3 linked regions of the Caenorhabditis elegans genome follow. The protein of the gene in region 1 purifies or fractionates together with the protein of each later gene. This does not show direct contact. Each region holds a gene or a part of one and is shown in the gene's direction. Other genes may lie near its edges.

Region 1 (7,830 bases):
AATTAACTCTTTCAAAAAAATTAAGCAGATCTATTTTATACTTTATACAAATTGAATAGTGTGAAATAATTTAGATCAACAAACACATATTTTGCAATTTCAGATTATTTATATTTTAATTGTCTGCAACTTGTGAAAACATCGATTGTAAACATTTGATCATATCAACTTTCTATTTTTGGATTCATACTTTATCAAAAAAATTTGTTCACGTTTGTCCATGACACCCATAAACAATATCATCTTTGAATGGTAAAAAGTTAAATATCAAAAGAGGATCTACTGAACCTTTTTTATCAATCTAATCTCACAGTGTATTAAGTATTTGTGAAACAGGGATTTTTTCTAAATGTCAAACACTGCCTTCAATGCTGGATTATTTCTGTATTAGATGTCAAAGAGCATTATTCCTTCCTCGTCTATTGTCATTGAAATTAAGACTTTTAGAAGAGTTATATTTTCAAAGAGAAATTCTAAAGCAGAGATTTCAGATGAAATCTTCATACCAATTCGCTTCAAAAAAGAAATAAAATAGTTGAAGGATTCCAACCAACAATTGAAATGATTACTGTTTCAGCAAAGAAATCCACAAATGTCGAAGCATAATACTTTTTAGAAAATGCCGGAGCCAACTTTCAACTGATTTTTTTATTTGTGTCAAGTAACAAATTCCGTGTTTAAAAATATTTGAAGTTTTTACATATACTTTATATTGAAAACTGTAATTGAATAAATATCGAGAACCTAATTGGATAAATATCGAGAAGAAATGAATTGTTTTAAAATTCATCTTCAAGATTCCACGTTTTAGTTTCGAATAATTTGGACGTCCTGGAAATTGAGAGTCAACAGAGCGAAATTTTTCAAATGTGATATTTTTCTAGCAGTTTCAACAATGATTTTTAAAACGAATTTTAAAATTTTCAAAACTGATTCAAGAGGAAACAATTTCAACTGGAATGTTCTGTTGAAATATACTCACATCATGATAAACCATTTCAATGTTTAATAAGATTTTCGAAAATATTCAGGCAAAGCTATGATATATTGTAAGTTTAAATTTGTAGGTAAAAGTAAGTTGTAAGTTTAAGTTTGTAGGAAAATATTCAAAATTCTTCTAAAAACTATTAATATTCTAGGACTTCTGAGCAAGATAACTGTATTTTTACGAATTTCTTCCATAACTGTATGTGTACTAGAAATATAAACTTTTGAATAGTTTTGGATACTTTTAGTGTGGGCTGTTCCAATTGCAACACCTAAAAATATATGTATTAATTTTTTTAAAAAGTTACATGATTAGATCTCTTCTTTGACAGTTTATATTTCGGTTAATTTTAAAGATATAAAAAACATTTCAAATTATAGAAGAAAGTATTCAAAAAAAGACGGTCGAAATTTTTTCTGAGCTGCCACAAATTAGCACTCCGGCTGCAACACACATAGAGGAAATACGGTAACTAAAAATAAGAAAAACAGTCAAAAGGTAAACATATATTTGGAGCTTTTCCTCAAATTTCAATTAATCTTTGTACTTATTTTCGTCAAATGATATCACTATTTCCACATATTACATCATTATTGTACGCATATGACATTTTTGTTTTCCTTTGCTTATCTGAACCTCTCTCACGAGACAGAATTGCTAAAAGTTTCGAAACATTTTGCTTTTTAATAAATATATTTCTTTATTTTATGGTTAGTCTAAGTTCACAATTGTTATATTAAGACTACATGGGTACCGTATCATTTTGATATACATTGTAGATTTACTATGTTTTTTTTAAGTTTCAGAAAAGTATTTAATTATTTGTTGAAACATTTTTGGAGTTGCTTTTCAGAAAGAAACAGGTGACAGTTTCAAATGTATCTTCTGTGTAATAAAACACATGTGTTGGTTCAGATGTTTGTTTAATTTTGCAAACGGTCATGCGTAGCGCAACGACTTTATTTTTATTTCATTCGTTTCTTTTTCGCACAGTCAGAGTGCATTTGAGGTGCAAACACTTGCATCACAATTTCTATTGATTCGTTATTTTTTAAACAATTTAATTTGATGAGAGACGAGAAGCATCCATTTTTCGGCAACTAATGATCGCTTGGCCAACTTCCAACATCCTCATTCCACGATTTCAAAACTGTCTCTGCTTCTTCGAATTCTATTGTATTTTTGTTAGCGTGAAAGGAAACAATGCGCGATAAGCAAACTGGGAGCGGAGTGGAATACGGAGAGAGAGAGAAAACGAGGTGGTCAGCTGATTTGTTTGCTTCACTTTATTCCCACATTTTCACTTTTCAACAGTTTCTCGTGACTGACCACATAAAGTTTAAGCAATCGATGCCATTCGTTTTTAAAATTTTGGATAACACATATACTTGATAAAAGAAGTTACGAAAACCAGTAGGAAATTCGTTTAATTTCTATCAAAATTCTACAGTACCGGTACAGTTGGAAGACAAGAGAGTGCGTGCACAGAAGAGACGCAGAAATATGTCGGCAGCTAGTGTGCAATGTGTGCAAACACCACCACGTAAAAGTACACAGATTGAGTGCCAAAATTGTTTCAAGAGGCCTATTTTTGGATATTTAAAAGAGTTTTCGACGCATATTTCATTATTTATTTTTAAATTTCAAAGTTTAGTCATTTTTATATATCCCTTATTGATTTTCTCTCCTTTTAACTCGTTGGAGTTTATTTTACAAGAGGATATGTAGTGTTTTGAATGATAATATATTAATTACGAGCGTATCTCTTTAAAAAGTTATTCTTCAAAATACCACAATGTTCGTTATTCAAGCTTTCAACATTCTAAACTTTCGTGTATTTTTTGTGTATCTTTCTCCTTATAAGCTACGCCTTTCCTCGTCTCCACCACATTCTCTCGTCTCATATGATGTCGGTTGACATGTGTATTCGTCTTCTTTTGCAGCTTTCAGTCATGTGGAATATGGTACAAACCGACCATGACGATCTCGAGAAAGCCGAGGCAATGAACTCGATGGCAGGACTCAAGTACACCATTGATCATACTTGGGATGGACTTCCACTTGCACATGAGCCTATCAAAGTGAGTTTTCGAATTTTTATACATTTAGATTCGAGAAAATTACGGTTTATTGCAAACTTTTTGTAAATGCGTATATTTGAATTTTTGCAGATTGACTTGAAGTGGCACTTTGAGCGACTCGTCGGGCGCCCACATAAGCGAGTTGTCAAGATTTCATTCGACGTAATAATTTTGAATATTTATATATTTATAAAAACTTCAACAAAATTTCGTATTCAGGCACCATTCTTCGACGATCCAGAACCACTCGATCCACCAGGAATAACACCACAGGTTAGTCAGTTTTTACTGTGATAAAGTATATAATTCAATAGTTTCTCCAAATTAAATTCTTTTCAGCTTTGGGATTTCGAAGTTATTGAATTCTTCTTCGCAAATGATCGTGGACAGTATCTAGAAGTTGAGATTGGTCCACATGGACATTGGCTCTGCCTTCTTTTTGACGGAGTTCGTCATACTATCAACAACGGTGAGTATTTTAACTTTTTAAGTATTTTGAAAATATCAGTTTTTCGAAAGTTACATGTTTCCCTTCAATCTTTAATCATTTCAGGCGAAGAACTCGAACTCGAAGTACGCAACAAATGGGTTGGAAATCGTTGGGTAGGAGAAGTCGAGATTCCTCTTGCATACTTCCCATCCAGTAATTTTTAAGTTTAATTGTAAAATTATGCAAATCTTATTTCCAGAAGTTACAAAATTTAACGCTTATCACATCCATGGAATGGATTCGGAACGCGTTTACGCCGCATTGAGCCCTGTGACCGATGGAACTTATTCGGTGAGCTTTAATACAATAAATTATTGAAAAAAAATGATTTCAACCTGTTTGTAATATAAAAATTTGCAACTTTTGGCTCCCAATATAGAGCCCATCACTCATAATCTTTTCTTCTCACATTTGTCTTCACTATCGGCACTCATTTTGCTCCGCCCATCGTAAACATAAAACATAGTTGACTGCGAAACCCGTGATTCGTCCGTACACGCAACTATATACTCACCCTATTGACGAGTCTCAACTCGTTAAACCATAACTAACTCAGGGCCTTGTTAAAGACCCGAAGTACAATTTTTGAAGCCCTGTCTCTCGAGGCAGGGGAAAAATTTATGTTGATAATGTTTTTGTTTAGGTGAACTGAGATTTAAAACTAATATTTTTAAAAAGTAGATGTTGAATATTAATCCTTTCTGGGACTATTTAAACACGATTTGCATAATATTAAATTTCTTGTTCGTTTCATGTTTTCCTTCGGCATGCCTTTTTCGTTGTGTCTCCGTCTCCACAATCTGAACGGACGCCCCGCCCACCTCTCACATAGAATGGAGGGTGGCGGAACCCGGCAGATGTCGGTTCAAACGGGAGGGTACCCTCTTTACGCCACAGGGAATAGTCGATTTCTTATAATACTTCAGGGCCTTACTAAAGACCCAGTGTACAATTTTTGCAGCCCTGTCTTCTGAGGCAGGGGAAAATGATTTAATTAATTAAGAATTTGGTGAATTGGATATATTAAATATAATCTCACATCCTATTCCAAAGAGAATCACATTGATTGGGTGAATACATAATATTTAGCATTTTTTTAAACATTAAAAATAAAATTTTCAGGAACCAGACTTCCACCGCCTGGAATTCTTCCAAAAAATCAACATGCGCCGAGTGATTCCAGAAGGTTATGGAGATCGTCCTTTCGCTGATTTCAAGTACGGAGATCTTTGGGCTGGGCACTATTGACACTGGCTTTAAATTTAGAAATTTCCAATATATCAGTGAGATTTGTTTTCTTTCCGGTTTTGAGCTGTTCAACCAATTCCATTTTGGCTTTTATGTGTCAATTGTCATCCGACAACAAAAATTATAACTTTTTGAAAATTTTTATTCACCTTCTATTAGAAACCGGGTTTATTGTTCTTCTCAAAATTGCTTACAAATTTTCTTGTTTTCCTTCCTATTTCATTTGAGAATTTCGCTATGCCCCATTAGGTTGTGTTGTTCTTCCGATTGCCCATTTTCAAATTCTTTCACTCCTCATTTTTTGTGTTTTAAATGTTTAAACTATTTATTTTCAGTATTCTCTTGTTTTATATTTCTGACTCATAAACTTTTCCTTTCGAAAATAGACACAACCACATGACATGTCGCATGATCTAGAGCTCCCGTTGTCCCTGGAAACCTGTTGTTTAGCTCGGGTCTCCATGGAAATTGAGCACAAAAGGGGGCGTGGCAATGGTTAGCTAGCGAGCCTCTTACAGCATAAAAAGAGCTCATTCTCGTTTTCATAAGCAGCATCTGAAGCCAACAACTTGGACAACAATGAGTGATCAAGAAGACAAAGAAGTTCCTGATGTAGAGGTTGACTACAGCAAGTACGATGAGGATAGTGTTCCAATTCCGGAAAAGGTAATAGTTTAAATTTATCTGAAATTATAATGAAAACTACCGTCAAACTCTGTGAAATCTATATAAAATTATTTCAGGATATCGAGGAATCTCATCCAGGCCGCCCGGATTTGGACTATGATGAGACTCCAGTTGGACCAGCTCCAACTGAATGCACCGAGGAGAAAAACGACTGAATATGCCACGTGGCAAATACAAATACTCCCAATACAATGAGGATTGAGGATGGATGCGTTTCAATGTGAATTAAAATTTTTCTCTTAATTTTTTAATGTTTCTTGTAAAATTGTCAAAATAATCATGGATTGAATGGAATTTGATGTAGAATTTTGAAAGCAATGAATGGTATCGGTGAAAATTCAACATTTTGTCTTTTAATTTTATGAAAAAAAATTGGTCTGAAATATGGAATTTTGAAAATTTAGAGAGAGCGAAACAAGGCATTTGTGCTAGAAAATTATTTAAAATAATCTGTTCATATTTAGGGCTTTTGAAAATTCAAAACTATCGTATTCGCGCAGATTTTTTGGCATGTCAGTTAGAGGCGCATGTGGACATTCTGATTGGGTCTCGCCACGATTTTACAGATTTGCACATTTGGTTCAGAAAATGGATTTATGAAAAGTTCAAGTACACAGAGAAAGCTAGGGTTTATCATAAAAAAGTGTCAAGTTCCCGCAGACGGACGATGAAAGTTCGAGCAAAAAATTTGATTTTCTCTACGACTCTTCTGTTCAAATACTCTCCCATTTTGTTTTCCAAGTGTTTGCTTCATAATTAGGCTCTCAGTTTTCCGACCACAAAATATGAAACTATCGAATAACACAATTTCTACATCTCTAGAGGTTTTGTTGCCAAGGGATACCAGTGCGCATTGAAGCCATCAATTATATTACAAAGTTGCACCCATTTGGTACCTGAAACAGCTGAAATGTAAATTTTAAGTTCAAGAAAATGACTGAAGCCGTTATGCATATATCATATACAAATACAAATGTCTAGCTTTCAAAAAACAGCAAAGAATCGTTTGAAAATTAATAATTCAATTTTATAACCTAACAGAAGAGAAACACTTCTAGAATACACAGAGCGACAATAATCCAGAATAACTCAAAAAACTATTTTTATCAGGTACAAAAATCAGACAATAAGCTACATGTTAGCAGTTGTTGTGACTCAAAAAACTCGTCAAACCTAAGGTTTTCTGTTACTTGGGTAGTTTCTTCTTGTGTGGAGCTCTCAACGTTGTGCAGCATATACGCTTTGATTAAACAAAATTGCTCCAAAGAGTTTTGTATTCTAATTTTGCTTTAACATTTTTATTTAAACTTTGTAGAGGCAGCATACTTGAATTTTTCAAAAAGTCCAAAAATTTCATTTGTGAAAACGTTTGACTGGGAATAATTGGAATTAAAAGAAAAATATATTTGGTTATTAAAAACTCATTTTGAGTTTAAAAAAAATAAAATCCCACTTCACTTTAATCGTGTTCAAGCTCCACGTATACCTGACTTTTCCTGAATTCGAAGCTCTCCATTTTGCTCAAAACGTTATCGGAAACCTATGAGCCTTACACCGAAAATGTTTTCTTCCCGCCCAAACGTGATTCTAGCCGTTTTTTTCTGTCACTAAAGAGATACGAGACGCAGAGGGAGAAAGGTGTAAAAGAAGGAAAGACAGGCAATAACGAGGTAAACATACACAATAACCTCTGCAGTTTTTATTGATCTGGTTCTAATTATTGGAATCATCGAAAACAACTATGAAAGCTCCATTCTTCAATGCACCAATTTTTAGACAGGTTTGTGGATTTTTTAACAGTTTTTTGTCTTGTTTTTGAAAAAAAACACAAAGTTTCAGTTCAGTTTTAGAAATTTAATTTTTCATGATATTAATCATGTGTTCTAAAGAAAGCGGGCGCATCTTAAAGCTACCTTATGCCTGCCTACCGACCGCCTAATTTCTGCGCTTAACCGAAATTGTCGGGTTTTTATTCTTGCACAGACTATGTTTATTCATTTCACTTGATTGATGGTAATTTCAGTTTAGATATAAAACATTTATACACGTCTATTTTGGCCGTTTGCAAGCAGGTAGACATAGGCAGGTGTAGGTACCTTTAAGGCATGCAAACATTTTCGTGCATATGAAAGAGATGTACAAAAATAAATCATGTTGTCAGAACCAAATTTAATGAGAAACTTTGAAAATGCACCTTTTAATTGTTTTAAAGATATTAGCACTTTAAAATCTTTAAAATCTTTAAAAAAAGTTTCATTTTGACGTAAATTTGATTTTTTTTCCATATTTCGTAAAATCTCACAACTTCCTACTTTTTATGACTAGACGGATTACCC
Region 2 (7,931 bases), on another chromosome or scaffold:
TTCTTACATATTTGTAAAACTGACCGAACAATTTTAAACTCAATTTCGGCACTTTACACTCTTCTTCCTGGTTGAACAATCTAAACATTTTTATGGTTTAAAAACAATTTCACATTATGGGTTGTATTTGTATTTATTGAATAAATTGATATATCGTTTTTAGTTATATATTTTTATAAAATGAATAGTAAAATGAAACGTGCTTATCAATCCCGTAAAACTATAATAATTACCTTTTTTTCAAACCAGGCTCCAGTTATCAACAGGTGGTTTGCGATTGGTGAACTGTGGGGAAAAAGCCTTTTGCAAATAAGTCCACCGTAGACTTATACATATATCACTAATGGAAACATGCTAAAAATGTTCCTGCTAAAAAATGAGACGCTCCGCTTTACCATCTTTTTAAAATTATGTATTATGGCTGAAAATAAATAAAATAATAAACTGTGGTATACAAAAACGATTTATTGAGTCGACACAGTTATTATTGTTGCAGTTCATCAAAATAAAATACAAACATCAGGGCGTGTGTGATGAGATACGATTTTTCAAAACAAAAAAGTCCAAACTGTTTTCCGTTGTGGGCGTGTAGGGATGAGGAGGTTTGTTGGCGCATATGCAATACTCACATACAACAAGTTTGATGAGTATTTATAAATAACAGTAATGACATCAAATGGAAAACTAAGAGGACAACGGATAAAAATTATTGACTTTTTCTTAAACTTATTTTCAACGTACGCGTACAACAACTACATGAACAAAGCGAGATGCTACAAGTTTGGAGGAAGAGAGTGAATGAGAAGAATGCGATAAATACACAAGCACGACGCAAAATAAAACACTGGGCCGAGGATGGCAATGGCCATTGAGTACGGTAAGTACAAAATAACATGATAACATAGTATCCAAAAATTTCAGAAGGAGAGACTTTAAAGAAAATGTTTGGAAAATGACAAGAGAAAGAGAGAGAGAGAGTGGGAGGGAGAGAGAGTTGGGCATTTTTTACATGCAACAATGTAAAGATCAGTGAGAAAATGCGTCACGTAAAATGAGAGGAGTAAAAAGTGTTTAGTTTTGGATGATGGCTATCAGTGATGAGTACATTAAGAAAAAAGGAATATGACAAACCGGTGTATCGGTATCCATGGATTTCCAATTTTCAGATTTAATTAGGGCGGATACTCTGCTACGAAGGGTTATTGCTACGTATCATACAACCGGAATGTTTTATGATATATATGGAAGTACACTGTATTTGAATGGTGGGAGAGAAAAATTGGTATCTATTGTGTGATTATCTCTGATGTTAGACGACATTAATAGCAGTTGAGTTTGTTCTATTGCACGCGCGGTAAAAGATAAGATTGTATTCCTCGTAGAATCCTCCAAAATGAGTATCGTCGATCGAGCAGAGTTCGGTAGAGTAACCCACACGGAAGCGATAAGCTGATTGAGTCCATTGACCTGCACTGACTTGGAACGTGTTATCAAACAGTTGGATCGATCTTGGAGCATCCGTTTCTGTGGACGAGCTTCCTGTTTCGTCGCATTTTCTGTTGTCAAATTCCTGGATGTAGCCACAGTTGTTGACCACCTTGGAAGATGGGACACTGAAAAGCGAAAATTCAATGATATGATAGTTGATGTTTTATGTGGGGTGCTCAAATTGAGTTGTGTTAAATACGTTTTCAAATGCGTACACAAAAAATTAATAAATAAAAATGTTTGATAATTGTGGATTATGACACGCTTTCAAAATATTCTTCCTAAATTAAAACAAGAAGATTTGTTTCAAATTCTTGTTCTTAGAAATTTTAGTTTCTAAGCCTATAGAGAAAAAAATTACACCACGCTCAATTGAAATAGATACATAAATTTGATTCAATTTTTTGAATGTGGTGTCCTAACACACAATTATCAGTTTATTAAAAACTTTAAAGTAAGAATTTTGAGCATTTGAAAAGAAATTAACAGCAGGAGAGTTCCGGAAAAAAATTAATTGTTAAAACTGAGTAAAATCAAGCCGAAGAAAGTAGTAATGGCTAACTCGTATTTTTATTTGATTTTTTTCTGCGCAAAAAGTGTAAACTCACTCAATCTGAACCTCCAGTGGAACATTTGGCAGGTATCGAGTCATTGGAATAAAGAGACTGTACACCTTCCTCTTCTTGACACAGCTTTTTTCGATGCAGTAACGCTCATCAATTTGCATTCCTAATTCAGGTAGTGAAATTTTCACGTTGTTACCAAACCCTTTAAGTGTGAAATCGGAACGAGTATCTGCTTTGAACCCAAAGTCGTTGTCAGTTGCGGTATTTGGATCATATTCAGTCTACAAATGCAATTTTCAAAGTTTCACCTTTCCGGAAACGGACACTTACAATTTCCAGCTCAGCGTGGTCTTTGTCATATTCCATGCAGCAATATCCACGACACGTTTCCATTGGACAAAAAGGAACTAGTGGCGGTGCATCCGGTTGTCTCAGGGGTACATAGTGATCTGAAATTTAAACATTGAAGTATACTTCACGTGTAATATACAGCCTTACCCAATGGAATAACGACGTTTCCTGGACCTTCCTTTGGTCCCGATGTGGTAGCAGATGGTGTGAAATGATGATATCCGAAGTTACGATTGTGCCAGTCAAGAATGTAAAGCGCAGACATAGCAAGAAGACAGAATGCCATTACTCCAACTAATCCGATAACGGTTCCATGAGTCATTTTAGATTTTGGTGCATCTTTTTTGTCTTTTCTGGATGAACGGCGGTTCTTTTTGGTGTTTGTAAGAGTTAAAGCAGAAGCGGATGAATCAAGTGATGTTCTAGAAGCATTCAGAGATCTTCCTTCAGAATTTAGTCCAGATGCCATTGAGTTGAGCATTTTCTTTTTCTGTGCATACTGAGTGAGTCGCTGACTAATCTCAGCAACTTTGTCATCAATTTTCTGATCAAGATCTCCAGTCAGACGGCACAGTTCCTGAGTTGCCAAAACTGTCTCATAGAAGACACGAGACTCGTTGACAGTGAGGTAATCTCCCAGATCTTTCACTGCGTCTGGAAGCACCGCCGCCAGCTCTTGAGCAATAACTCCCGTTCGTTTCCTCTGATCTTCGGTTAATCCCCATTTACTTGCAACCTCCGGTTTGTAGAAGTAATCAACAATACGCAGCTTTTGCAAATTTTCCAGAGCATCCTTGGCTCCCTTTTCAGTGATGTTGTCCTTAAGACGAATATCAGATGGATACATAACACGGCCGCTTGAGTAAATATCTCCATCGACGGTTAGTTGTGCTCTTGGCTCTGATTTTCCAATGACAACAGGTCCATTTGTGCTCAAGATTCCTCCATTCTTGTTCCAACTCGCGTCTACCATTTCTGGAGGTTCAAATGATCCGGGATTGGTTGCCTGCAAGTATGATTTATTAATGTGTTGCTAGCAACGAAATACGCGTGAGCTCTCAAATAGCTCTTCATTCCTCTCTCTTTTAGTTGTCCGCGTTTATTTTTTTTCCACTCATGGATCTTGCTTATGTTACTTCAATAGATTGTCCAGCGGTATTTGATAGTTCAGTTGATAATTTTTTTACCGCTGATGTGACTATCAATAATTCAAGCGAGCTTGTTCATTCTGCACAAATAATTTTTCGCGGCTATGTTTGTAAAGGCGACGCTCTTCATTATGAATTTCTTCATGAGCAACAATGGGTTCTCGTAGAGCCAGGAGGTAAGATTAATTTTAAATAAACTCAGACAAAGTCAAAATATCAGTTGAATCACCCTTACGAGCAGCAATCGATGTTTGGCTGCCAAGATTTCCTCCCTCTATGAAATTCCCAGATGGAAGTGAAATTATCTACTGTGTACGTGCTTCTGTCGCTCCGTGGCACGAAAACAACTATGTGGAGAAAATATTCGAAGTTCGAAGATCATTAATTTTAAAAATGCCGCACGAAGCGTGTTATCCGGTGGAGCACATGGTTAATAAGTGTGTCGAGCATGGAAGTATTCTTCACAAGTGAAAAATCGCATTTAATTTTAAAACGCGTTTCAAATTTTTCAGGAAATGCGATCCGATCAATGGCCGAATTTTTCTCGAAAAGACGGCTTTTTGTCATAATGAAGAAATTATAGTTGGATGGGAATTAAACACTGAGAAATCCGTGATTGAGCATTTTACGTGTAAGTTGGCCCAATTGGTGGAAGTCCGGTAGGTTGCTAGACAAAGCGCCAAAGTTCACAATCTTTTGTTTTAGCGAGAGTCATCCTAGCAACTATTTGGCCACCAGACGTTTTGTGAAATTTTTGAAAGAGCAGAAGTCGACCGCAAACACATCTATCTCACTTGTGGTCCCACCAGAGAGTCTAATATCGATTTCCATGTCCCTATGGAATGTTCTCGTTGTAAAACATGAAATTGTTTTGGAAATTAAAATGCAGAAAAGAAAGAAACCAGTTATATTCAAGTACCCTATCATTATATGTAATGAGGAAGTTGCTGTGAGTTGATAACTTCATATTTTTTAGAATCAATAATACAAATTCATTATTTCAGAAACACAAACGTCCACGAGAAGCGGTTCCTGTTTTCAAAAGGGTACAAGATGTAGATGACGACTCAGATGACGACGATGATTACGACTCGGAGGATGAAGAGGAAGAAACATCAAATAGAGATTATTCTGTTGACATAGAGAAGCTTTCAGTCACAAGTATGTGTTTCATTTATACGAATATAACATTTGTTGTTCTTTAGACGTCACCCAATCAGAAAAAAAGCCACTGGAACGCGCAGATGTAGAAGTAACATTCATTATGAACAGTGTTGAACCAAAGGAGTTAAGGTCTCTTCGACTTATTCTTACCGGTGAAGTGAGAGTGGGAGGTCTTTGGTATGAATTTCTAAGATTCAAGGCTATAGCAAACTTATCACATGAAACCCTATTGTCACCAGGAGAGCATAACTTTCGGTTTCAACTCCCATTTGCGGATTCCCAGTATGACACCTCAATTCTTCCGCCAACATTAGGAGATGAAATCAAGTACATGATTCACGCGAGTACAGTGAGCTTACCAAAAAATTTTTTCCAACAACAGTGTGAGCTTCTCGTTGACCGTTTTATTGACACGTGGGCTAAGGAAGCGTACAAGCCACCCTACACAGAAGAGTATGGAGCAACCAAAATTCATCTATCTCAGCGATGCTTCAAGCGTGGAAAGCATGTAATAGTTGCTTTGCAGGGCAGCGAGCCCCGTTACGTCAAGGGCACACTGGTGCAGAAGAAAAGACTACGCGTGCCTAATGTGAAACTTGATGAAAGCTATTGCAGTCAACGAAACGTACGAATTTTCGAAGAAAATATTCATAGGAAAGATCATATCCATGTTATGCACATCCCGTTCAATATTCCACCAAGCATTGAAATCTGTTACTGGAACGTCCTCCAAATCGAATATCACTATGAAGTCGAAATAACATTAGAAGGTGGCCACACTCATAATCATTCAATTCCTATTTGGATAGGATGCACAGAAGATAATCTCTCAGTGCCAGCTCAACAAGAGGAGGTAATACCCAAACATTCACTGATCGTGGATGAGCCATTTGAAGAGCTTCCCGAGTTTGAAGTAGTGCTTGAAGATGATATACATGAGCACCCCTATTGGGTCGAGCGGATTAACACAGACACATATTATCAGAATTGAATGTTTCTTATCCGAAATATTAATGTATCATAAATCGTTCACTTATTTTCGCAAATGCTAAGCTGTATTCATTTGCCTGTACGACACAGCACCACATATGATTAGGACAATTGTTTTTTGCATAACATTATTTCTCACAACCGATTCAACAAAAATACTTACCCGAACAATAACACGCTCCGAGGCGAATGCCTGCATCAATACAGTTGTTCCATCAGTGGCAGTTGCGTATAGACGGACAACAAGATTGAAGTACTTCTGGTCCGGGTTTGGACGCAAGTTCTTTCTCTGATTGTTCAGTGTAGTTTCCGAGAAGTGAAGTCTTGGAACTGTCACAATGGTCATTCGGCGTTCGACAATTTTGAAAAGAACTGGTGTATGCAATATAGGTTTGCGCTCAGTCGTAGACTGGCGGATGGGGATTTCTGAGTTTTGAGACTGCAAAATTTAAATATATCATTTTGATAACTTTGAAATTTCACTCACCTCCGACTTCGCGCCCACGAATGAAAGTTGGAAATTCTCAATTGGTTTGCATACTCCGTTAATTTTGAAGCACTGTGGTGGTGATGGATCAATCGCCTCAATTTTGACAGTGACCTAAAAAATGAAACATTAGAATTTTTGCTGAAAAAAAAAGAAATTTACCTGGAAGTGGTTTTTCTTTTGATTAACAAAGCAGTTATCATTTGTGGAATAATTGAATCCTTTGTCTGCCAGAACGTGCACTTGGAGACGACCCAACTCTTCTCCATTTGCATCATACATTGGGCACCATTGTTCCTCTTGATACTTAAAGAAACGGATGTTTGGCTGTCCGCCTTCTTCTGTGACTTCCGCCCCGAGTTTTCCAGAAACTGGAGCATGCATGATGAAGCTGGGATCCATATTCTGGTCCATACGGGGGCGTTTGCGATTTGGGATGTCATCGGAGCCATTAATACTTTCATCACTAGAAACGTTCAATGCATTGTACAAATTGCTCTGTGCGAATCCTTGACCGTTACTGTCTGGGGAAATTGACTGAAAACAACGTTTTTGAAAAATAAACTTTTGTTTAACCTTATACCTGAACATAACTTCCTGGCGTTGGATGGTTACTGTTGAGAAATTGTGGGAATGAAGGTGGATTTGGTGATGTGTTCGGTCCCATTCTGGGATTGAATTGACGATTGATGTGTTGTGGCACATTTGAGATATCGTTTGGAATCACTCCGTGGTTTGGACGTTGTGTTCCTAGTCCGAAATTGTTAAGACCTTCTGGTGAGTATGGTGGATCAGAGTTGGTGGTTGACGGGGAGGACGATGATCCATGACGAGTCAAATCTGTGATGGCTGGTGTCATCGGCATTGATGCAAGCTGAAATTCAATATTCATAAAAATGTTTTCAAGCACTTCAGATATTAATCAAATTTTTTTAATTTAGCATTAAATACACGAAAAAGAGTTCATTGACTTGTTACTTACTTGTTGCTCATAGATTTGTTGTTGATGAAGTTGTTGAAGCATGTGCTGAGGCATCAGCATAGGTTGGTTTGCCATTTGCTGGCGTTGTAAAATAGGATCAATTCGAATATTTTGATCCATATTTCCTTGTTCAAATGCTTCTATTGGAAGATTGAAGCTAAAAACCGCTATGTCAAATTACGAAACATTTCGAAATTACAAAACTCACTCTACGTCGTTTTGAAGAAATTGGATGATGTTGAATTGTTCGACGTTCGCTAAGGGATCATTCAGGCCCTCCTCTGAAACAGGAGTTGAGCATGAATTCATTTCGAATAGAAGTTAAAATTTTTGTTCGGTAGTTTTTTTTAGTTTGTTTTGTTATGCACGCGTTGGCAAATTGAAGGGAACAGTCGCGGTTTGACCTGGCAAAAAGAAGGGTACACCGAGCAATTATTGATTTTTTGGTCAAATACACATCGCAACACATGCGAGAGAACTGTGAGCCATTTGGCTCACTCACATGACTTTTTTTATCTCTCATCTTCTCAAAGGCACACACGTTCTACTCTCTGCACACAAACGCGAGAAATTTGTTGCCGCTGCTGACGCCAGCAATTTTGAAATGAATACCACACATACCTTTGGGAGGGCGAGTTGCAACGGGTCTTCGGACCATTTAATTAGCGACCATACAAGTAGGTATGATAATCAATTTAAGAAATACGGGGCTGAGTGATGTTTATGATTTTTTGACAGAAGATAGACCGAAGCGC
Region 3 (7,696 bases), 4.8 Mb from region 1:
TAATTGATAAATATCATCAAATTTTATTCCAGCCTCCATTCCGTTTCGTTTCAATTTCGAATTTCGACGAAATGAAAACAAAAAAGAAAGAAGTTCAAGAAGAATTGAAGCTTGAGGTGGACTCGGACAGTGAAGAAGATGATGTCCCAGAGCAGAAAACTCCAAAGGAATCGGATCGATGTGGAGGATGCGGAAAATTTACTCATGAAGATGATCTAATTGCTCTTGAAGAGGAAAAGAAGAAGGAAAAGGAAAAGCCACTGATGAGCAAGAAGAAATCTCACCATCACAAGAAAAATGACTTCCAATGGATTGGCTGTGACTCTTGCCAAACCTGGTACCATTTTCTGTGCTCAGGCCTCGAGCAATTTGAGTATTACCTGTATGAGAAATTTTTCTGCCCCAAATGCGTTCCACATACCGGACATAGCATTCGTAAGTTTTTTCATCGAATAGCTTGCAATTAAATATATTTATTTATTATTTTAGGATACAAAGTCGTCGCCCCACATCGTTATCGCTGGTACAGTCCGAACGAGAAGCATCTCGGAATTGAAGTTGGCTCAAAAACTTGGATTGAGGATTTCATCACCAGAGAAAATACTGTTCCCTCACCGTAAGGGAATTTTCATTAAAAGATGACTTGGTTGTTATTTGTGAAGACTCGAAATACGCCAAAATGAACGAAGACTTCACAAAAATTTCAAGAAAAAGAGTTAATCTCAGCTGAAAACTCCCATTTTTGCCGTTTTCTCACATTTTTCGTTTATTTGGTACATTCTGAGCTGTCAGTTTACTAAAATTGGCCTTTTTTGATTACCTATTGGCTTCAAATGTACATAAATCAACGAAAAAACTTGAATTTATCACCTATAATAATGTTTTTCGTTCATTCCGGCACATTTTGAGTCTAAACAAGCAAAAAACCCAGACCTCCCTTAAAGATTATTTAAAATTAAATTTGTATTCTTTAGAACCGACGATGAGGTTTGCATTGTCGAAGATGGCTACGAATTCCGCAGAGAATTCGAAAAACTCGGAGGAGCTGACAACTGGGGAAAAGTTTTTATGGTCAAAGACATGGACGGCCTCAATATGACAATGCCGAAGCCTGGATTCGATTTGGAGGATGTTGTGAAAATTATGGGATCGGATTATGAAGTGGACACGATCGATGTCTATAATCAGAGCACCTATTCGATGAAGCTTGATACGTTCAGAAAACTTTTTCGCGACACTAAAAACAGACCACTCTTGTACAATTTTCTGTCCCTTGAATTCTCGGACAATAATGAGTGAGTTTATTAACTGAAAACAATTGAAAAATTAATTAATTAACATTTCCAGGATGAAAGAAATCGCTAAGCCGCCAAGATTTGTCCAGGAAATCTCAATGGTCAACCGCCTGTGGCCTGATGTCAGTGGAGCGGAGTACATTAAACTCCTCCAGAGAGAAGAATATCTTCCAGAAGATCAGCGACCAAAAGTGGAACAGTTTTGTCTCGCAGGAATGGCTGGATCTTATACGGATTTCCACGTGGACTTTGGTGGTAGTAGCGTCTACTATCACATTTTGAAGGTATAATTATTGAAGGAATATAAATGGTTCCGCGGATTGTGAACGTTCTGACCCCGCCAAAATGTTCTCAAATTAACGAATTTCGTTTGAAACTTCTGAAAAAATTCTCAATATTTTTTTGGTTTTTTTGGAGGTTCAAAATTAAAAAAAAAAGACTAAATTTGGCTAAAATCTCCTATTTTCCGAGATTTTAAAAGCATTTTTGAGAAGCCTCATCACGAAATTCGTTGATTTGAGCACATTTAGGATCGTAATGTTCGAAATACCCTTCTTTCAACTGAAATTGGTTTTCTCAAAGCTTATTAACTCTATTTTCAGGGCGAGAAAATCTTCTACATCGCCGCGCCAACGGAGCAGAACTTTGCAGCTTATCAAGCACACGAGACATCTCCGGACACCACTACATGGTTCGGTGACATTGCCAACGGAGCTGTTAAGCGAGTTGTGATCAAGGAAGGTCAGACACTGCTCATCCCGGCTGGTTGGATTCACGCGGTTCTCACTCCAGTCGATTCGCTCGTTTTTGGAGGAAACTTCTTGCATTTGGGAAATCTTGAGATGCAAATGCGCGTGTACCATCTCGAAAACGCGATTCGTAAGGAAATTAGAAGCGAGGAGAAGTTCTACTTTCCGAATTTCGAACTTCTTCATTGGATGTACATGCGAAACGTCTTGCTTGAGAAGATTACAGGTAAGCAATTTACTAGTTTGTATAGCGGTTTTACTAATATTCGCTACATTTCAGAAGCCAATCAGGAAGGTTCTGACATGCGTGAGCAGGAGAAGAATATTTGGACGGCGTCACAAATCATGAAGGCCGAAATGGAGCGCTGGATGGATCGAGAGTTGAGATTGGGTCCCGAGAAGAACGCGATCCTGCCCACTGACGACAAGAATAAGATTATGATCTCGGTGAGGAAGCAGATTGAGATTCAGACGAAGATTCAGAATGCCAAGAATAAGCCGATGGGGTTGAAGCAGAAACGTAAAAGTCGAGAATCCGCGGAGCGGGATGATGAGGACTATTGCCCGTCCAGCTCGACTGCCTACAAGAAGAAGTATACGAAAAAGGCTAAGAAGGACAATGATGATGCTCCGAAGGTGAAGAAGGCGAAGAAAGAGGAAGTTCCCGAGGAGAAGGTTCCGGTTCCTGAAGCAGCAGGTCCTTCCGAAGTTACAGCTCCATTGACCATCAAGATTGGAATGGGACCGACTGAAGATCAGAAGGGCGTTGTCCAGATATTCAATAATCAATGCACGTCGTCTGGAAGAAAAGTAAAGTTGAATCAGAACGTGGCCGACTATTGTGGATCCCATCTCGAAGCACGCGTCGAAGAGATTCCGGAAAAGGCGACGAAAAGCTTCCGCGAGCTTGACAACGAACTGGAGCGCTGTGAAGCTGTTCATTCCGGAGAGAAAATCAAGAAGGTTAAAGAGCCAAAGCCACCGAAGCAACCAAAAGAGAAAAAGGAGAAACCACCACGTAAGAAAAGATCGAAACCTTGAGAACTGTTTAATAATTTTTTTTTTCAGCAAAGAAAAAGGAAATGAGTTCCAGAGATCGCCTCATGAAGAAGCTCAAAATGTGAACGTCCTCTACCTCAAGATATGTGTGCACTTTGACGAAATATAAATCTCGTACAATTATAAAGTGCCCCCCGATCTTAATAGTAATTTCCCCGTATTTTTGACTAATTTTTACATTCGTTTTATTGTTTTATTCACACAATCCCATATTCTTTCACGCGGTTCTTTTGCATCCAAAAATTTGTACAAGACGATCTCCCGAATTTACTGACGGGGATTTTTTTGTAGTTTGAAAATACACACGCACAATAAAGCGTTGATTATGTTAATTTTTTTCCTTGATGTGAACATTGTTGAAAGTGAAATGCAAGAAAATATCTGCTTTTTAGACTTTAAACTTGGATTTCCTAGAAGAGATCTCTCTAGAGAGTGAACAGAGAATTAGAGAAACGAGGCAAATGCAAATGCAAAAAAAGCTCTATGGAACTACTTTTTTCAGATTTTGGAATTTATTATTTATTTTCGGGTTTTAAAATAGCTTGAAATGAGCGACATGAGCGAACAAAGTGTTGAAATTGCTTCTTCACAACTTGGAACCAAGGATTTGTAAGTAAAAATTCTAAAAATTTACATCTAGAGTTGGCTAAAACATTTTTATTTCAGCTGGGATCAACGATACGAGTTGGAACTTAAAAATTTCAAGCAACACGGAGATGAGGGAGAGGTGTGGTTCGGAACATCGTCTGAAACACGAATCGTAAAATATTTAATCGATTCGAAAACCGGCAAAGATGCAAAGATTCTTGATTTGGGATGTGGAAATGGATCGGTTTTGAGGAAATTGGTATGGATTTCGAGCTCAAAACCTCTGAAATTCAGTTTTTTTTCAGAGATCGAAAGGATTCCAGAGTCTGAAAGGTGTTGATTATTGTCAAAAAGCTGTTGATCTTTCTGCAGCCGCTTCGAAAGCTGAGCGAGAAGAGGAAGAAGACGAAGAATTAGTAGATATTGAATTTGAGGTGTAAATTTTTGAATTTTGCATCATTAAAAACGGAGAAGAGGTGTTTATTCATCTAAAACATAAATTTTTGCATAAATAACGAAAAAATAGCTAATTATTTTGAATTTCCGCGCAAATAAATTACCTAGTTCCGACATTTTCGCGTTTTCCGACTAATTTGATTGGTTTCTTTTGTAAAAACACCGTTTATCAATTTTCAGACATTTTCCCGGGAAGAAGGCCTGAAAAGCGCTAAGTTTACTTTAATTTATAATTTTTTTGCGGAAAACTTTCTAAAAATTGACAAGGGGTGTTTCAAAAGTTTAAGGAAAATATAAGAAAATCGAAGAAAACGCGAAATGTCGAAACTAGGTTATTAATTTGCTCGGGAATTTAAAATTAATTCACCAATTTGAATTTTTTCTGCAAACCGCCTTTAAATATTGTTTTTCTCGAAATTTCAAAGCAAAAACGTTTTCTTTCAGCAATTGGACATAACCACACCGCCAGCCGACTTTTTCTCCTCGAAATTCGATGTAATTCTCGATAAAGGCACATGGGACGCGATGAGCCTATCCGATGAACGAGAAGCTCGTCTGAAAGCCTACTTGGGTTTTCTTGATAATGGTCTGAGCGCTGGCGGTCGATTTGTGATATTCTCGTGTAATTTCACTTTGTAAGTAGGCCTAAAAAGGGCCTCGAAATGAAACTTCTAAATAGGTCACTCCAAAAAATTGAGCGGCATACGAGCACTTTGAAACTGAGAAAAGTTGATCTGAAACAGCTTCCAGACCATTTTTTTCCATTAAAAAGTTTATCAAAAATTTGCATTGTTTTTTGACCAAAAATTTTTTGACCAAAGTTTTCAGTTAAAAATTGTATTTTTTCAATTAGGGAGATTTAAAAAAGAAAATCAATTTAGATATTTCCAACAATTTTCCAAGGTTTCAGAAAAAATCGGAATTTTTTTTGACTGAACCAAATTTTTTGATTAAAAAAAGTCAGGATTTTTGAATTTTTTAAAAATCGTCTCAAATTGTTCATTAGATTCAAAAAAAATATTGAAAAAATGAGCTGAACCGAGTTCAGATCGATTTTTTCTAGTTCAAAGTTCTCGTATGCACCTAAATTTTTTGAAGTTACTCTTTCAAATGACATATGCAAGTTCAAATACTTCCATTGTAAGTCGAAATCAATTGTTTTCCTTTTCAGCGACGAGATGTGCTCGCAATTCGGTGGCGGCGGCGGCTCAACAAGTCTAGAGATCGTGTGTGAAGTACCAGCAAGTCACAGCTTCTCGTTTGGCGGAAAACAAGGTGTCACTTCAACGGGTGCCGTCTTCCGGAAGAAGACTCTATAAACACCTCTCCTCTGTGTTATTGTTGTTGTTCATTTCTTTTCCCCCTTCCCCCCCCCCCCCCACATTTCTCCCATCGTTTCTCAGTTTCTCAGTTGTTATATAAAAAAAAAGTAGGTTTCTCTTATCTCTCTCCCACTGTGTTCTCTCTTTAGCTAATCAGGTGCATCATCATCATCATTTTAACGCCAGTGTTGCTCGGCATGATGGATCTTGGAGAAAGTGGCAGCAGACCCTTCTCCTCCTAGACTACTTTTCGCGGAAAATGGGAGTTTGATAGGGCGGCGCCTTCTTAGACGCGGGGAGCTCCTTCGTCTCCAGGGACTCCTTTTGAAGGAAGGAGATGGGGTGCTTGTGACCCGAAGATGGGGGCTCACTTTCGGCTCCGAGCACAAGTAGCAGCAACAGCAGCAGCTGCAGAGATTCCACGTTGTGAAAGAGCTTCTCTTTTCGACCTTTCGTCGCCTCATTAATCATTCATTCAATCTTTTTTACATGTTCGTTTTCTACCTCTTGCTCCCCTCCCGTACGCACACTTTTCACACATTTCTTTAATCCATCTGAACATGCATATTTCTCTTGTTTTCTTTTTGTTTTCTGGGTGACTTCTTGGTGGTTTTTTATTAGTCTGTATAGGCAGAGTGCCAAAGACAATTGACGACGACACACACACAAGTATAGTCGTTTTTTGGTGAAAGAAGGAAGGACGAAAATGTTATGCAAAAAAGTTGACTTCCGGAAGTTTTTCTGCAACTTTTCTTTTCAAAAACGTTCTGAGATTCAACTATGTATGCGCCTTTAAGCTAGGGGTACTGTAGTTTAAAAAATTTGAGCTTTTCGAGATTGTTTTTGATGATTTTTATTTTTAATGCTACATAGTTTTCTATTAAAAAAATAATTTTCCAGGTGAATTTTGCAATTTTTGATACGACGACAGATTTTTGATAAAGGTGTGCGCCTTTAATGAGTACAGTAACCTCCACTCCTTTTTTTTGTAATTTTCTATAAATATTATTCTATTATTTTAAATTTGTTTTTCAAAAAATAAAGCTTTTAGACACTACTGTAGTTCTTAAAGGCGCACACCCTTTTTCATTAAAATTTTTTTGAATGGTCTCACCGCGAAAAAGTTTTCGAATCTTTCCTTTTCTTTTGAAAAATAATAATTAAAAACTGAAAATCTTCACAAAAATCAAGAAAAAGTAGAAAAATGAAGATATTCGTCTACGAAATCCCGAAAAAAGGATATATAACTTTTTTTCACGGTGAGACCCATTCGAGAAAATCCGAGCAACATTTAAACACGCATTTCAGAATATTGTGAGCATAATAATTTTAAAATCTTTTGTTTTATTCCCCATGTTTCGATTTTTGCGCAAAAAATACGGTACCGGTCTCGACAAGAAAATTATTATTAAACTCGAAAAGATGTGCGCCTTTAAAAAATTCTGTAAATTCAGATTTTTATTGTTGCGGAATTTTTACTGGGTACCAATTGGATCTTCACAGTTTTTTTTTCAATCAAAATACTTAAGCAAAGCAAGCAAATACACATCGTAAAAAAAAACTATGAAAAATTGACAAAAAATTCCGCAGCCAGCACAATTTGAAATTACAGTACCCCTTTAATTCGCGCATTTTTAAAGAATCACCAAAAATTGGTCGTATCGAGACCAGGTACCGTATTTTTGGAAAAAAAATCACAAACTCACGGCTGACTAATAAAAAATAGCTTTCGATGTAGAATCATCAGTGCATTAAATTACGAGAAAAACCTTTCTACAGTACTCTAGTTGATTTATTTTTAGGAAATCAGAAGAAAAAATAATGCAATTTAAAGTTGGAAAGTGCAAAAATTTCAGTGTCAAAACTAACCGAATCAAAAATGACCTTTTCGTGCCAAGACCAGAACTTTCCAAAATACCAATAATTGAATAAAACGTTTAGTTTCCTCGTGCCACCCCGGCGGGCGGGTGTCACTAATTGTCAGTGGCCTGGTGTGACATCAAAAAGTTTGATTTCATTGTGGCCGTCGTGGGGTCCTCCCATTTCTCTTCCTCTCTTTGCCAACACCACAAACGGCGTTTTTTTTCATTTTCTGCGACCGCTTCTTCCTTTTTTTTATCCCACCGAACGTTATTTTTTTTTGCATAACTTCTTCCAGTTTTTTTAGTAGTATGAAGACAAATTGTTGTGTCTTCTTGTCCCCCCATCCTTCCCGCCGAAAAACATA

Evidence for each region.
Region 2: the proteins of C33A12.3 (region 1) and arrd-28 fractionate together in Caenorhabditis elegans (co-fractionation; one large-scale study listed by BioGRID). This does not show direct contact.
Region 3: the proteins of C33A12.3 (region 1) and F29B9.1 fractionate together in Caenorhabditis elegans (co-fractionation; one large-scale study listed by BioGRID). This does not show direct contact.

The regions. Positions count from the first base shown.
Region 1 is NC_003282.8:9,508,104-9,515,933, reverse strand, and holds C33A12.3 (UPF0462 protein C4orf33 homolog), read left to right. Parts: upstream 1-2,931; 5' UTR 2,932-2,940; coding exon 2,941-3,069; intron 3,070-3,159; coding exon 3,160-3,231; intron 3,232-3,288; coding exon 3,289-3,342; intron 3,343-3,408; coding exon 3,409-3,538; intron 3,539-3,622; coding exon 3,623-3,712; intron 3,713-3,758; coding exon 3,759-3,850; intron 3,851-4,094; exon of another isoform or gene 4,095-4,171; intron 4,172-4,467; exon of another isoform or gene 4,468-4,539; intron 4,540-4,681; coding exon 4,682-4,807; 3' UTR 4,808-5,186; downstream 5,187-7,830. Other genes in the region: C33A12.4 (TFIP11), read left to right, coding at 5,387-5,473, 5,551-5,649; ethe-1 (Metallo-beta-lactamase domain-containing protein), read left to right, coding at 7,236-7,274.
Region 2 is NC_003284.9:10,180,502-10,188,432, forward strand, and holds arrd-28 (Arrestin C-terminal-like domain-containing protein), read left to right. Parts: upstream 1-3,493; 5' UTR 3,494-3,521; coding exon 3,522-3,729; intron 3,730-3,773; coding exon 3,774-4,020; intron 4,021-4,065; coding exon 4,066-4,212; intron 4,213-4,258; coding exon 4,259-4,502; intron 4,503-4,557; coding exon 4,558-4,714; intron 4,715-4,758; coding exon 4,759-5,708; 3' UTR 5,709-5,753; downstream 5,754-7,931. Other genes in the region: ncs-4 (EF-hand domain-containing protein), read left to right, coding at 1-75; myrf-2 (Myelin regulatory factor homolog 2, N-terminal), read right to left, coding at 1,310-1,613, 2,097-2,335, 2,385-2,503, 2,553-3,411, 5,871-6,146, 6,195-6,308, 6,357-6,731, 6,778-7,068 and 2 more.
Region 3 is NC_003282.8:4,661,774-4,669,469, forward strand, and holds F29B9.1 (Protein-lysine N-methyltransferase CELE_F29B9.1), read left to right. Parts: upstream 1-3,605; 5' UTR 3,606-3,650; coding exon 3,651-3,712; intron 3,713-3,769; coding exon 3,770-3,950; intron 3,951-3,996; coding exon 3,997-4,125; intron 4,126-4,591; coding exon 4,592-4,782; intron 4,783-5,318; coding exon 5,319-5,466; 3' UTR 5,467-5,518; downstream 5,519-7,696. Other genes in the region: jmjd-1.2 (JmjC domain-containing protein), read left to right, coding at 33-435, 490-616, 975-1,295, 1,348-1,579, 1,898-2,270, 2,325-3,062, 3,113-3,168.